Schizosaccharomyces pombe: one gene and its partners. The protein of the gene in region 3 purifies or fractionates together with the protein of the main gene of each other region. This does not show direct contact. Each region holds a gene or a part of one and is shown on either strand. Other genes may lie near its edges.

The links.
Region 1: the proteins of coq12 (region 3) and mrpl35 purify together in Schizosaccharomyces pombe (affinity purification with mass spectrometry, with the first as the bait; one study listed by BioGRID). This does not show direct contact.
Region 2: the proteins of coq12 (region 3) and coq11 purify together in Schizosaccharomyces pombe (affinity purification with mass spectrometry, with the first as the bait; one study listed by BioGRID). This does not show direct contact.

Annotation. Positions count from the first base shown.
Region 1 is NC_003423.3:1,718,864-1,722,622, reverse strand, and holds mrpl35 (mitochondrial ribosomal protein subunit L35), read left to right. Parts: upstream 1-2,126; 5' UTR 2,127-2,145; coding exon 2,146-3,072; 3' UTR 3,073-3,398; downstream 3,399-3,759. Other genes in the region: transcriptional activator MBF subunit Rep2, read right to left, coding at 3,740-3,759.
Region 2 is NC_003421.2:2,273,767-2,277,525, reverse strand, and holds coq11 (ubiquinone biosynthesis protein Coq11), read left to right. Parts: upstream 1-2,056; 5' UTR 2,057-2,327; coding exon 2,328-3,158; 3' UTR 3,159-3,359; downstream 3,360-3,759. Other genes in the region: pdi5 (protein disulfide isomerase), read left to right, coding at 3,682-3,759. UniProt on the Schizosaccharomyces pombe protein: Acts in the coenzyme Q biosynthetic pathway.
Region 3 is NC_003424.3:3,880,496-3,884,254, forward strand, and holds the start of coq12 (NADH-dependent flavin oxidoreductase), read left to right. Parts: upstream 1-1,919; 5' UTR 1,920-2,031; coding exon 2,032-2,766; 3' UTR 2,767-3,125; coding exon of another isoform or gene 3,126-3,596; 3' UTR 3,597-3,759. Other genes in the region: SPOM_SPAC1071.13 (uncharacterized protein), read left to right, coding at 850-1,167; protein tyrosine phosphatase Stp1, read right to left, coding at 3,126-3,596. UniProt on the Schizosaccharomyces pombe protein: NADH-dependent flavin reductase that acts in the coenzyme Q biosynthetic pathway. Required for synthesis of the p-hydroxybenzoic acid (PHB) precursor to form a quinone backbone.

The DNA of each region.
Region 1 (3,759 bases), on a different chromosome or scaffold from region 3:
GGAGCTATCAATGGAAAAGTTTCTTTCAATTATATAAATGTGTTCTCTCTTTATTTTTCCTCTGTTTTAAGCATGCAGTAGTGTCCCGGTTTTAGGAAATGAACGAACGATAAAGGAAGGGATGACAATTCGTCGTTCTACAGAAGGATGGAATGGATTAATGGCAAAAGTGAGGATTCCTGGGAAAATAAGTATATATATATAAGGTGGACAGAGAAAGAAGGTAAAGGATAATGAAGGTGGTGAAGGAAGCAATGTCTTACTGCGTCCCTGGCAAGTAAAGAGGCTTATAAACAATAGAGAACTATGTACTAAGGTGGTTTAAGATACCAATTCCTTAATTTTGGACTTGGATTACTATAAGAATACGTTTCTGCTGAGAAATATGATGCTGCAGTCGGTAACTTTTTGGTTTGTGTCGCAATGTTTATATATGTTGATCGGGTGAGATGAATTTTGACGTCACTGCAAAACAAACAAACGAAGGGCTAGGGTAGCCAATCGGGAAATGATTTGTTTACTTTATGAGATGAACTTGCCGTATAGAAATAAAAAGTTTTTCTTTATAAAAATTTATTTTTTTTTTGTTTGAAGGGATTTGTTGCAATTAACAAAGGCACTATGCTAAAAAAGTCAAGCAGTATTATCCTTTAAGGCCTCCATTTTAAGGAGCTAACCGAAGGGGACTACATTCACGTGTCGCTCCACTGTGTAATATTTACATCACAGTCGTACCGTTAATTGGCCACCATATTCGGAAAGGAAAATCTAGAGTTCTATTTGATGCAGATTATGTCAAATATAATCAGGATTTACTTTTATTTAAACCAATCAAAAAATAGCCGATTACTTGTGGAGAGATAATAACGCTATCCCTCGGTATTCGTAGTCGTCAATAGTAAAGTTGTGAATGCGAAAATATAATATCGCCTCTCTTGCTAGCTTTTTTCATATTTATTTCCTTTAATGGTTTTGATGAAACTACCTAGGCTTCAAATTTTGTCGTTCTCTTACGCGCGCCACCATAAACGGCTTTATCGTTACTGATAATAATAGCTCATATCATTACTATTAGTAGCCTTTCCGCTATCAATCCTTTCTCAAAATTTAGCCGCAACTTGTTTCTAATACTTCTTCATCTTTCTTGCCCACATTTACTTATATTGTCGCAAGCAAGAGTAACATGTTATTGATTTAAATCTGGTTTGCCAGAATTCTCATTTTTAGTATGTATACTATCATATCTTTTAACTATACACGAGATGAAGTTTAACTTTTGGTCACATTAAATCAAAATAGACAGAACGGATCGTACATACGACCATGAGTTAGCCACTGGATTGAATCAGTTCTGCAAATCGAAAGATGTTGAACTTCGCAGTTGACAATATGAGAATACTTTAGCAACATCTGGAATATTTAATTAAGCTCTACGTCAATTTGGTAGAAATGTGACTATCTAAGATATAGTTGGCAATTTCCCGAATTCATAGGATATCACCTTTAAACCTTTTGACTTAATTTAATGATATTATTTTTCTTTATTTTAATTTACTGAGATGTAAATGCCGTGATTGTTGCATGTGTATACCTCAGATAATAATTGGACGTAGACACTATTGATTAACCCACGTAGCTATTTCACTTCTTTTGAATATTTTTCTCTTATTCATTCCTTCCGATTGCTGAATTTTCAATGCAGCCGTCAAATTAGGAACATATTACTTCATACGGACTCTGACTCATGATTCACTATGTGTCGTCGAGTCAATATATTTTCATTATAGTCATTGAAACTTACTGACTTTTGCAAATGACCGTTTCATATAACTTGTAGCTTTTGGTTAAACATGAACGCTATTGCTACAGTCTAGTTCCCATTAGAAGCAGCTTACGGGAGTAGAATTGTTGCTTAAACCTACCACTAAAACTTTGGTCATAACCTTGAAGGGACTCGGTATGATTGACCTTTTCCAATTAACATGTTTAACATCCACAGTTTCCATTTCTAATTTTATTTTGTATAACCGTAAATATCGAAAAAGCTGTGCATTAGCATTCCTTACACTGCGCTATACCCTCTTGTGTTATTCTATTCCTATACACATCCATACCGTTAATTACTTAGCTTTTACCATTGCAAGGATGAAACGCGTATGGCCTAGAATTCCTACGATTTCGAATGTCTGTAGGGCTCGCAGTATTTACAGTGCTGCTCAGGAAAATGCATATCGCTCTTCTGTAAAGTTAATACAGGAATACTCGGAGAAAGTTCACAAAAAGCTTCAGGCTAAATTATTAGAAAACCCAAGTGAAACTTCCCCAGAAATAGAACGGTTACAGGTTTTATCACAAATTAATTTACCGGAAGTACGCTCTAAATTTCATAAAAAGGAGATCGACTACACGAATCCGGTGTTCCTTTACATGCTTAAGCAACAGTGGGAAGATTATCAAAAATTGCTTCTTTTACAAAGATTGGAGCAGATGAAAGTAATAAAGGACTCTGGGATTGGCTCATTTTCGCCATCTGTCGACGTACAGTTAGGATTTAACCCCGAAAATAATGATTCTATCACTCCTGGCACTATCTTGCCAAGTACGGTTACTGTAAAGACCCCGTGGCTATCAGTTTTACCCTTTAATTGTAAAAAGAATCATTATTCAGTTATAACACTAGATTTGGATGTCCCGAATTACGAAACAAACCGGTTTGAGACTCATTGCAACTGGCTTTTAACGAATATCCCCATTGAAGCATCCAAACGTGTGCCCATTGATACTTCTAAAGCTTTCTTTCAATATCGGCCTCCTATTGTTCACCGTGGAGAAGATAAACACCGTATCTTAACCCTTGTTTTGCGGCAAAAGTCATCTAGTATTAGTATTCCTTCTAATGCACTTGTCCGCGAACGATTTGACCTCTCTGAGTTTTGCTCAATCTATGATCTTGAACCTGTTGGCGCTCATCTTTGGAGAAGTGGCTGGGATTCGGACGCAGTTGCATTATTATCCAAGCACCCGTCTGTACACGAATATCGAGATATCCGTGTAGAACGTATCCCTGCATGAAACTACTAAAAGAGCCCCTAAAATATTGTTTTTATAAGTCATTTTTTCATTCCATGTTTCAAAACATTAGCATGCATTGCTTCCCTCCTCTCGTGTCAAAATAGTTTATCTTTTACATGATTTCCCTTCTTAGGTTTTTTTAAGACGATAGCCTTGTTCCATAGTCCTATTTTACTTTCCTCTTATTAAATCAATTGCAAATCTGTGAATAAAATGCCTATCCTATGCCTTAAACTAAAGTCAGTTGTAACTTTAGAACTGGTGTTTCCTCTTTACAGTATGTTTGCTCAATCTAGATGAAGTGTGAGCTGTATTGTAATATATTTCATTATAGCTTTCGCGAAAATAAAAAGATAGTGTCTGTAATAGTGATATTTGATAGCAAAACATAGAAAAAAGTGCATAGATGATCGTTTCCTAAAACAAGGTTATAAGAGCAGTCTTCTATCATTTCAAACTATATTTCTTGATTACCTAATTGATGTAGTAAATTATACTATGATCTCAAAATAACTTCTCTAAAAGAAGTGATGAAGCTCTCAAGAGTAAAACGACTGAGCAAAATTTTAATACGCTTTATATAACCAGCGTCATTAATAAGCGATAATTATTACATATCCGTAATGCTACTAGATACGAAAGCTGCTTCTTTGTATGAACGGAAATATTAAAAGAGCCAGTCATCTA
Region 2 (3,759 bases), on a different chromosome or scaffold from region 3:
AGCTATATCCGGCTCACGAATCCTTCCTCATCATTACAAGCAACCGTTCTTCTAACTAAAAATACCCGTTGTAAACAAATATACAAATCTTATGGACGTGGGGAATATAGATGTATATATTTGACTACAGTTATATTCTTGAATTACTTCATTTGATAGTTGTTGAGTTTAAATCATTGAAGGATAATTCTTCTTTTGAAGGTTTGCTTAAATAATTTGGAAGAAATAAGTATTTAAGAATTCCGTTTTATAAGAATTTTTTCACAACTTTAGATTGTTATCGATGTGCCTTACTATCTTAGTTTTTGAATGAAAAATTAATGACGGCTCGAATATAAAGGGGACGGTCTTCGCTCTTTATTCAGCAAAGAACGTATGGAATAGAAAGAATTTGTACTAAATGTGTCACCATAAGTGCGAAGCTTTAGGGTTTTTACATTATAAGACAAGTTAGATTTTTGTTTTAAAGGTGGCATTTAGAATATAGACAGATGAAGTTAAAGGGCGCAGCTCGTTTTCCTTGGCACTTTTTTACACTCATCTCAGTACTTGTATTATCTTCTCAAAGCAGCTTGGTAGTACAATTTTCTTGGATATTATCCCTATCTGATAAAATAAAGTTTCGCTAATAATTAAGCGAAGACTTACAACTTTGACGAAGCAGCACACAGAACTAAACCAGTAGATCATAGTGACTATAAAAGCAAATCTACTTAAAGAGGCTGAGAAATTGCCATCGTGAGTTTATTTATTTTCAGCTATATTCTTCAATGTAAATTTAAGTATTTATTGAGAAAAATTTAAGAAAGTTAAGTTGTTCGTTATAACGTACAGCAGCTACGAAAGGATATTTATACTACTGTCTCGCAAATAAACATTCTAGCAACTCATTAACATCATAACTTGTGTTGGAATAGTAGACAACTATGATGAATAAAATAAAATAAAAAGGGCAAGTTAGAAATCAGAAATTTATGCTTAATGTTTCATTTGGATTTTCGTTATTTCCAATGTATTCTGAATATACTCATACTTAAACACATATTGTTATATGTTATATTTGTTACATCAGGGGGATCGATATATCATATACTCCACAGTATAGCTAATTTATTTGTAACCCTTTTTGAAGAAATATTTATTTGGTATTGAGAATTAAATTAAATTTAAAGATTTACTATATCATAGCCTATTTACTCAATCTGTTCAAATGTTGCTTTCGCAAACATATTTTTATCAGTCACAATATAATGAAATACACATTTGATTTAAAACAATTTCAAAAAAAAAAAAAGGATGTTGATTAGAATGAAAGAAAAAAAATAAGATTTATATATTTTCAAAACAAAAAAGGTGTAGATATCAATAATAAGAAGACTTAAAATTCTAATAGATCTCGTAACGATCAGTTATTTTAAATTTATAAAATTAAACCACAGTGTATTGTTTTAGAATATATGAATTTAATACTTTCGCTCAACGATTTCTTGATCGATCAACTAAATATGTAATAATATTAATTAAAAAAAAATAAAAAAAATTTGAGATTTTTTCTTTCCTCTTGCTATGAATCACGAAATTTTCTGTATGAACAGAATAGCAATCAACTGGCTTCTCAGACACTTCATAAAACTCGAAATTGTGTCTTCAGGGTTATCGGAATAAATATTATGATTCATAAGCTCTATTGTTAGCTTAAAATTGAATTTGTTATTAATCTAACATATTTGTAAATGGGTTTATGAAGTATTTGAATTTGAGATCTTATTATTACGAATTTAAAATCCAAAGATAATTAAGAAATTAATCAATGGCTTATAAAGTATAGAAAATTAAAGACTAAATTATCAAAGCATTTTTATTTTTAATTTTTTTTAGCGCTCTCATTTAAGACAAACTTTTACTAATACTCCAATTATGAATGATGGTTATTTTGCATACTTATTAAATGATGTACATATTTTTATAAATTAATAAGTCTAATAGAAGATAATTAATTACCTCTTTCCATCTCTTGGTCTTCCTTATTGAGCTAGCACATTACCTCATTCTCTTCAACTACGATTTACTAACTACTCAGGTTGAAAGGGTTTTTTGAACATTGTTCGTAAAAGGAAATTTTAAAAATATTTTGAGACAGCATTTTTGTGTTTCTCAATTATTAAGATTAATAATAAGCATCACGAAACTTTGAGGTGTTAGCTTACATTAACAATTCTGGGGTTCTAATCCTTATAATAATTTGGGCTGGCCTATATCAAATTGTCTAATTTGAAGATTTAAATTCTTTAAATAATTTTATTTTTACTTTCTCCCTCGTTTTAAGTATGAAAATTGTTGTTTTAGGTGGTTCAGGCTTTTTAGGGCATAATATTTGCAAATTAGCCATTGCTAAGGGTTACGAGGTGGTTTCAGTATCCCGAAGAGGAGCTGGAGGATTGCATAACAAAGAACCATGGATGGATGATGTTGAATGGGAGACGTTGGATGCTCAAAAAGATCCAAATTCATTACTTCCTGTTCTTCGTGATGCCTCGGCAGTGGTGAACAGTGTTGGTATCCTTATGGAAAATAACTATAAAAAGATTTTACAGAATCCCAGAGGACCAGTTTCGCATTTAATCAATAGTCTTAGCTCTAACATGTTTAAAACTGGCCAAAACCCTTTAGCACCTAAACCTGAAGAAGCAAAGCAATCTAAAAATAAAGTTACATTTGAAGCAATCAATCGAGATTTAGCTATTGAAACAGCTAAGATTGCCGCCAAAGCTAATGTCCCTGTGTATTGCTATGTGTCTGCTCATGCAGCGGCTCCCGGGTTGGATCCCCGCTACATAAAAACGAAACGTGAAGCTGAAAGGGAAATATCTAAAATTTCAAACCTTCGTTCTATATTTCTCCGTCCTGGTTTTATGTATAACTTTAATGATCGTCCTTTCACAGGCGCCCTTGCGTCTCTTTTTACTGTCTCATCCAGCATCAATCGAGCAACCTCTGGTGCTTTAAATTTCCTCGGAACCGCTTCGGCTGAACCCCTTCCTTCTGAGGAAGTTGCTTTGGCTGCTTTGGAGGCTATTTCTGATCCCAGTGTCAAGGGTCCTGTGGAAATTTCCGAATTAAAATCTATGGCTCATAAGTTTAAGCAAAAATCTCTATGATTCTCTTGTTAAAAGTAAATTACACATCATAAGTTTATGAAAATGAATGATTGGGTTATGTGTAATGAATTTTGACCAGTCTTAATTATATCTACCTGAATACGTCTTTATACTTTCAAGTTAAAATATGATTGCTAAACAAAGAGAAAAAGTATCGTCTAATTTAAATTCTCTGCTCAATATTTACATCATTTGAACTACTGTTATCTAAGTCGTAGAATCTTTTCCAACTATAATTGCCAAATTTGCTTCCTGACTGTATTTATTAACTAGAAAATTAAAACAAGTTATTTCAAAAAATTAGAAAGAAAGCTCTTTTCCCATGTTAACTCGAGCTATATTTGCTTCGATATATCAGCTGTTGTAGTAACCATACATTTTACCTTATTATACACCTCGCACTACCTATATCAAACGCACGCATTCGAAAGGTCCTCGGTGAATTAAAGAATTAAGAAGATAGAGAAGTTCATAATCCTTTTAATTTACTTATTCAAATTGGACTTACAGTCGTAAATTATTTATGGAGCTGGGTGCTTGGAGATCTATTCTCTATATTGCGTTCCTGTTCGCGATTACGCGCCATGCCTTTTGTAAAGCA
Region 3 (3,759 bases):
AAGTAGCTGTTGACTTGTAAAGGTTAAAAAAAAAAAGGGTAAATAATATATAATGGATGATGGGCTGTAATGGGAAAATGGGAATGATGGGTTTGCTGAAAAGAATACGATTCTAAGTTCAGTAGTGTTACTGTAGGTTGAGATGTTGATTTTGGAAGAGTTGTTCATTATTTTGTAGGTTTTGTTACATATTCGTTTCTATGTTTACCTTTTTGTTCGTTGATATCAGTTATTGCAATTTTTTTAGCTTTTCATCTTTATCTTCATCAAACTTTCTTTTTGCTTATTTTCTTTTATGTTTATGCTAGTTATGAATCACACAATACTCTTTCTTTTTTATCCCTTTACCTATTATCTCCATCGGCCGCGTTGAAAGCGACACATTTCAAGTAATGATTGCTTTTTTTCTTGTTTCAATTTGAATCGCAAACTTACCACAGAGTGCTATTGCTCGCATCTCACTTCCATAACGTCTTCTACACGCTTATAGTCTTTCTGTCTTTGTTATACCTCAGCTCATTCCTTTTCCTTCATATGGTATCTTTAATTCTAATACTTTATTGCATAATATAACAAATTTATCTGCTATACTATTATAATATCCACATATGCCACAATAATCGCCTTCTTGATGTATACGAGACTTTGTATTCCATAAAGCGAAGAAAAAAAAAAAGAACGCTCTACTTTAAGTGGATCTCTGGGTCATTTCCATCTCCTCATGATTCATTATATCCTCAATGTTGCTGTGCGACAACCCTATCTGAACAAATAAGCTACACTTCATACAATCGTTAATCAATTTTATTCATTGCATTCCTAATGTAATTAAAAAAAAAAAATGAAGAAATGGGGCGATCCAATCATCTTTTCATTTTCATTCATTGGAAAAGTCGGTCTATTTTTTCTGGTAATAATAAAGTCTACCGTTTTTCTAATTTGTATGTGCGAACCAATTCATGGCAAAAAGTGCGCCATCTTGAATCACTCCATACGAATGCGTATATTGTGCCTTTGGAAATGCGCCTTATAATAATGAAAACAAGACAAACTTTCAAGGTGCATGGTATGAGAAAAAGGAAATATTATTGGAAAAACGACTACATGCGTGGAAAAAATAGAAATGGCAATTTGCCCACAAAAAAACATCAATCAAAAAAAATGTAAATAAGATAAACGATAATTTTCATTCAAATCTAATATGAAATAAATTTAATTATCAATACTTCAAGTAATTCATACAATATATATATATATTTTTTTTAATATTCTTTTTTTTTAAAATGAAATTTCCATGTTATACTAATTACAAATTCCAACTGTCCACGTTACGTTGGTTTATTTGTTTTAATTTTTACATTTATTTTATTTCTTATTTTTTTAAATTTTTTACTCAAGTATACATATACGCTGGTTCAACGTTCTAACTTTTACATAGATGCAGACTTTTTTTTTCTTTGGGTCAGTATCTTTAGTTATTCTGTTGCTACATATTTTGATAGTCAATGAATAGATGAATCAGGCTTTAAAATTAAATTTTTTCGTTTTCCTATAATTAATTCATTTCTCTACCACTACTCATCAGATTCGCTGATTGATTTGCATCTATCTTGTAAACAACAATTTTTCGGTAAAAGAATAGAAATTTGAATCCTTCTCTCATGTTTCCCTTAAATGTTTATTTTTTCAAGTTTCACATTAGCTTCTATGCACGAGTATAATTTCCCAATGAAAATGGAATGGTAAACAGTATCACAAAGTACACCACTGTCCTACAACCTCGTCCAACTTTCTTTATATCTTTATTGAACATAAAAGTTTGAAAGGTTGTATTGAATAATCAAATAAAGGGGTTTTATTTCCTCAATTTGAGTAGCACGAGTCACTTTTATATTCGCTGTCCACAGTTGGTCGATTTTATTACCAACACTAAAGGAGTTCATGACTATACTACCGCTTTCTGGTCGTTTGCCTTTTTTCCGTGCTTAAGTCAAATAATATTATATACTTAATAATTGTTTACATATTTTGATGTCAATCCGATTTACTCATTGTTTTACTTCTTCCTCATCATTGCCCTGCTACATACTTCGACATTTGCCTTTTTCAAATTTCAACCGCTATTCTACCGCTTCCCATGATAACGTTAATGCTTTTCGCCTTTTAATGCGTAGGTTCGCACAACCAGTTGTCATCATCACGAGTGGTTTTGCTGATGGTCATCGTGCTGGCATGACGGCCTCATCCTTTACGCCAGTTTCTCTGACGCCAAATCCAGTAATTTCATTCAATATAAAAATTCCCTCTCGTACAGCAAACGCCATCCAACAATCCAATCGAGTAATCGTTCATCTTCTGTCTAGTTCAATAAAGAAGCATTCCGAATGGGCTTCCTTACTTGCCAAACAAAAACATCAAATCAATCCTTTAATGAATTCAGAGAAAAACTCTACTTCTGTAGAGGATCTTCCAGGAAGCAATCGTACACAGCAAACATCTTCACATTCTCTTCTGCATCCCCTTCATCCAATCGATGTCAGTCTCAGTAAAGAAGGTCTTCCATGTCTTGTTGATAGCTTAGGGCTCTTGCACTGTTCAATAATTCATTCTTATCAAGTACAAGATCACATTCTTTTCGTTGCGAACGTTGAGCGTGTTGAACATGGCTCTAGCCCTTTAGAATCCAGCTCAGGCTTAGTTTATTATAATCGGAACTACTGCAGCACATCCCCGTTAAGCCCTATTATTGATTCTTTCGAAAGTTAATTCTTTTTTTGAGTTTGCTACTTATGCAAGTAATCATGCCTACTTTAAAAAATGATTCAGCCAGGAATGTTGGGTCCGTGTTCTCCATGCTATTTAATATTCTTTCTTTTATATTTTCATTAATTTATGTGTACTATGTATTTCTTTCTAGGGTATATAGCTAGAAAGACTTACGTAAAGAAAGGTTGTACGACTTTATTCAATTGTTTTTATTTTTTGATACAGTTTTTGTAAAATAGGCCAGTCAAAACGTACGCAACTAAAAATCAATATTTTAAATTCTAGAAGCATTTCTATCGTTGGATTTTTGGGCGAACTTAATACCTTTAAAAGCTGTACATTTTCTATTCAAACTTAAACTAAGCAATGGATTTGAGGAAATTTTGAGAAAAATCTACTAATTGGATATAGCAATCTCCAAAACCATCGCTTCCTCCATAATAAGGGTCATCAACGATTTTTGAAACTCCTGGACTAGCATATTCTCCAAAAAGCATGACTTTAGCACGGCTACCTTGAGGTTTAACACGATTAATGTTTCGCAAATTTGACGAATCCATTGCAAAAATGTAGTCAAAGTTTTTAAAATCAGACGTTGAAAGTTTCCTTGCCAAATGTTTGGTATGAATGCCATTCTTTTTAAGTACTTCGAGAGTTCGTGGATCAGGTCGATTTCCTACATGCCATGCACCAGTGCCACAGCTATCAATGGTGTCAAAACGTGCCTCGAGTCCAGCCTTTTCTACTTCATTTCGAAAAACTGCCTCAGCCATTGGACTTCTGCAAATGTTTCCCAAGCATACAAAAAGTACTTGAATATTCTTGGTCATAGTTTATAGTATATTCTTGGGATTTTTGATGAGTCAAAATTTCCTCTTCTATTTGTAATGTATAGATATTATAGAAGGTGTAAGTTTAAATGAAAGACAAGCGAATTTTTACCACAGTTAATTGGTAATAAAAAAGTTTGAACTTTTGGTAGGTGCACCTCCC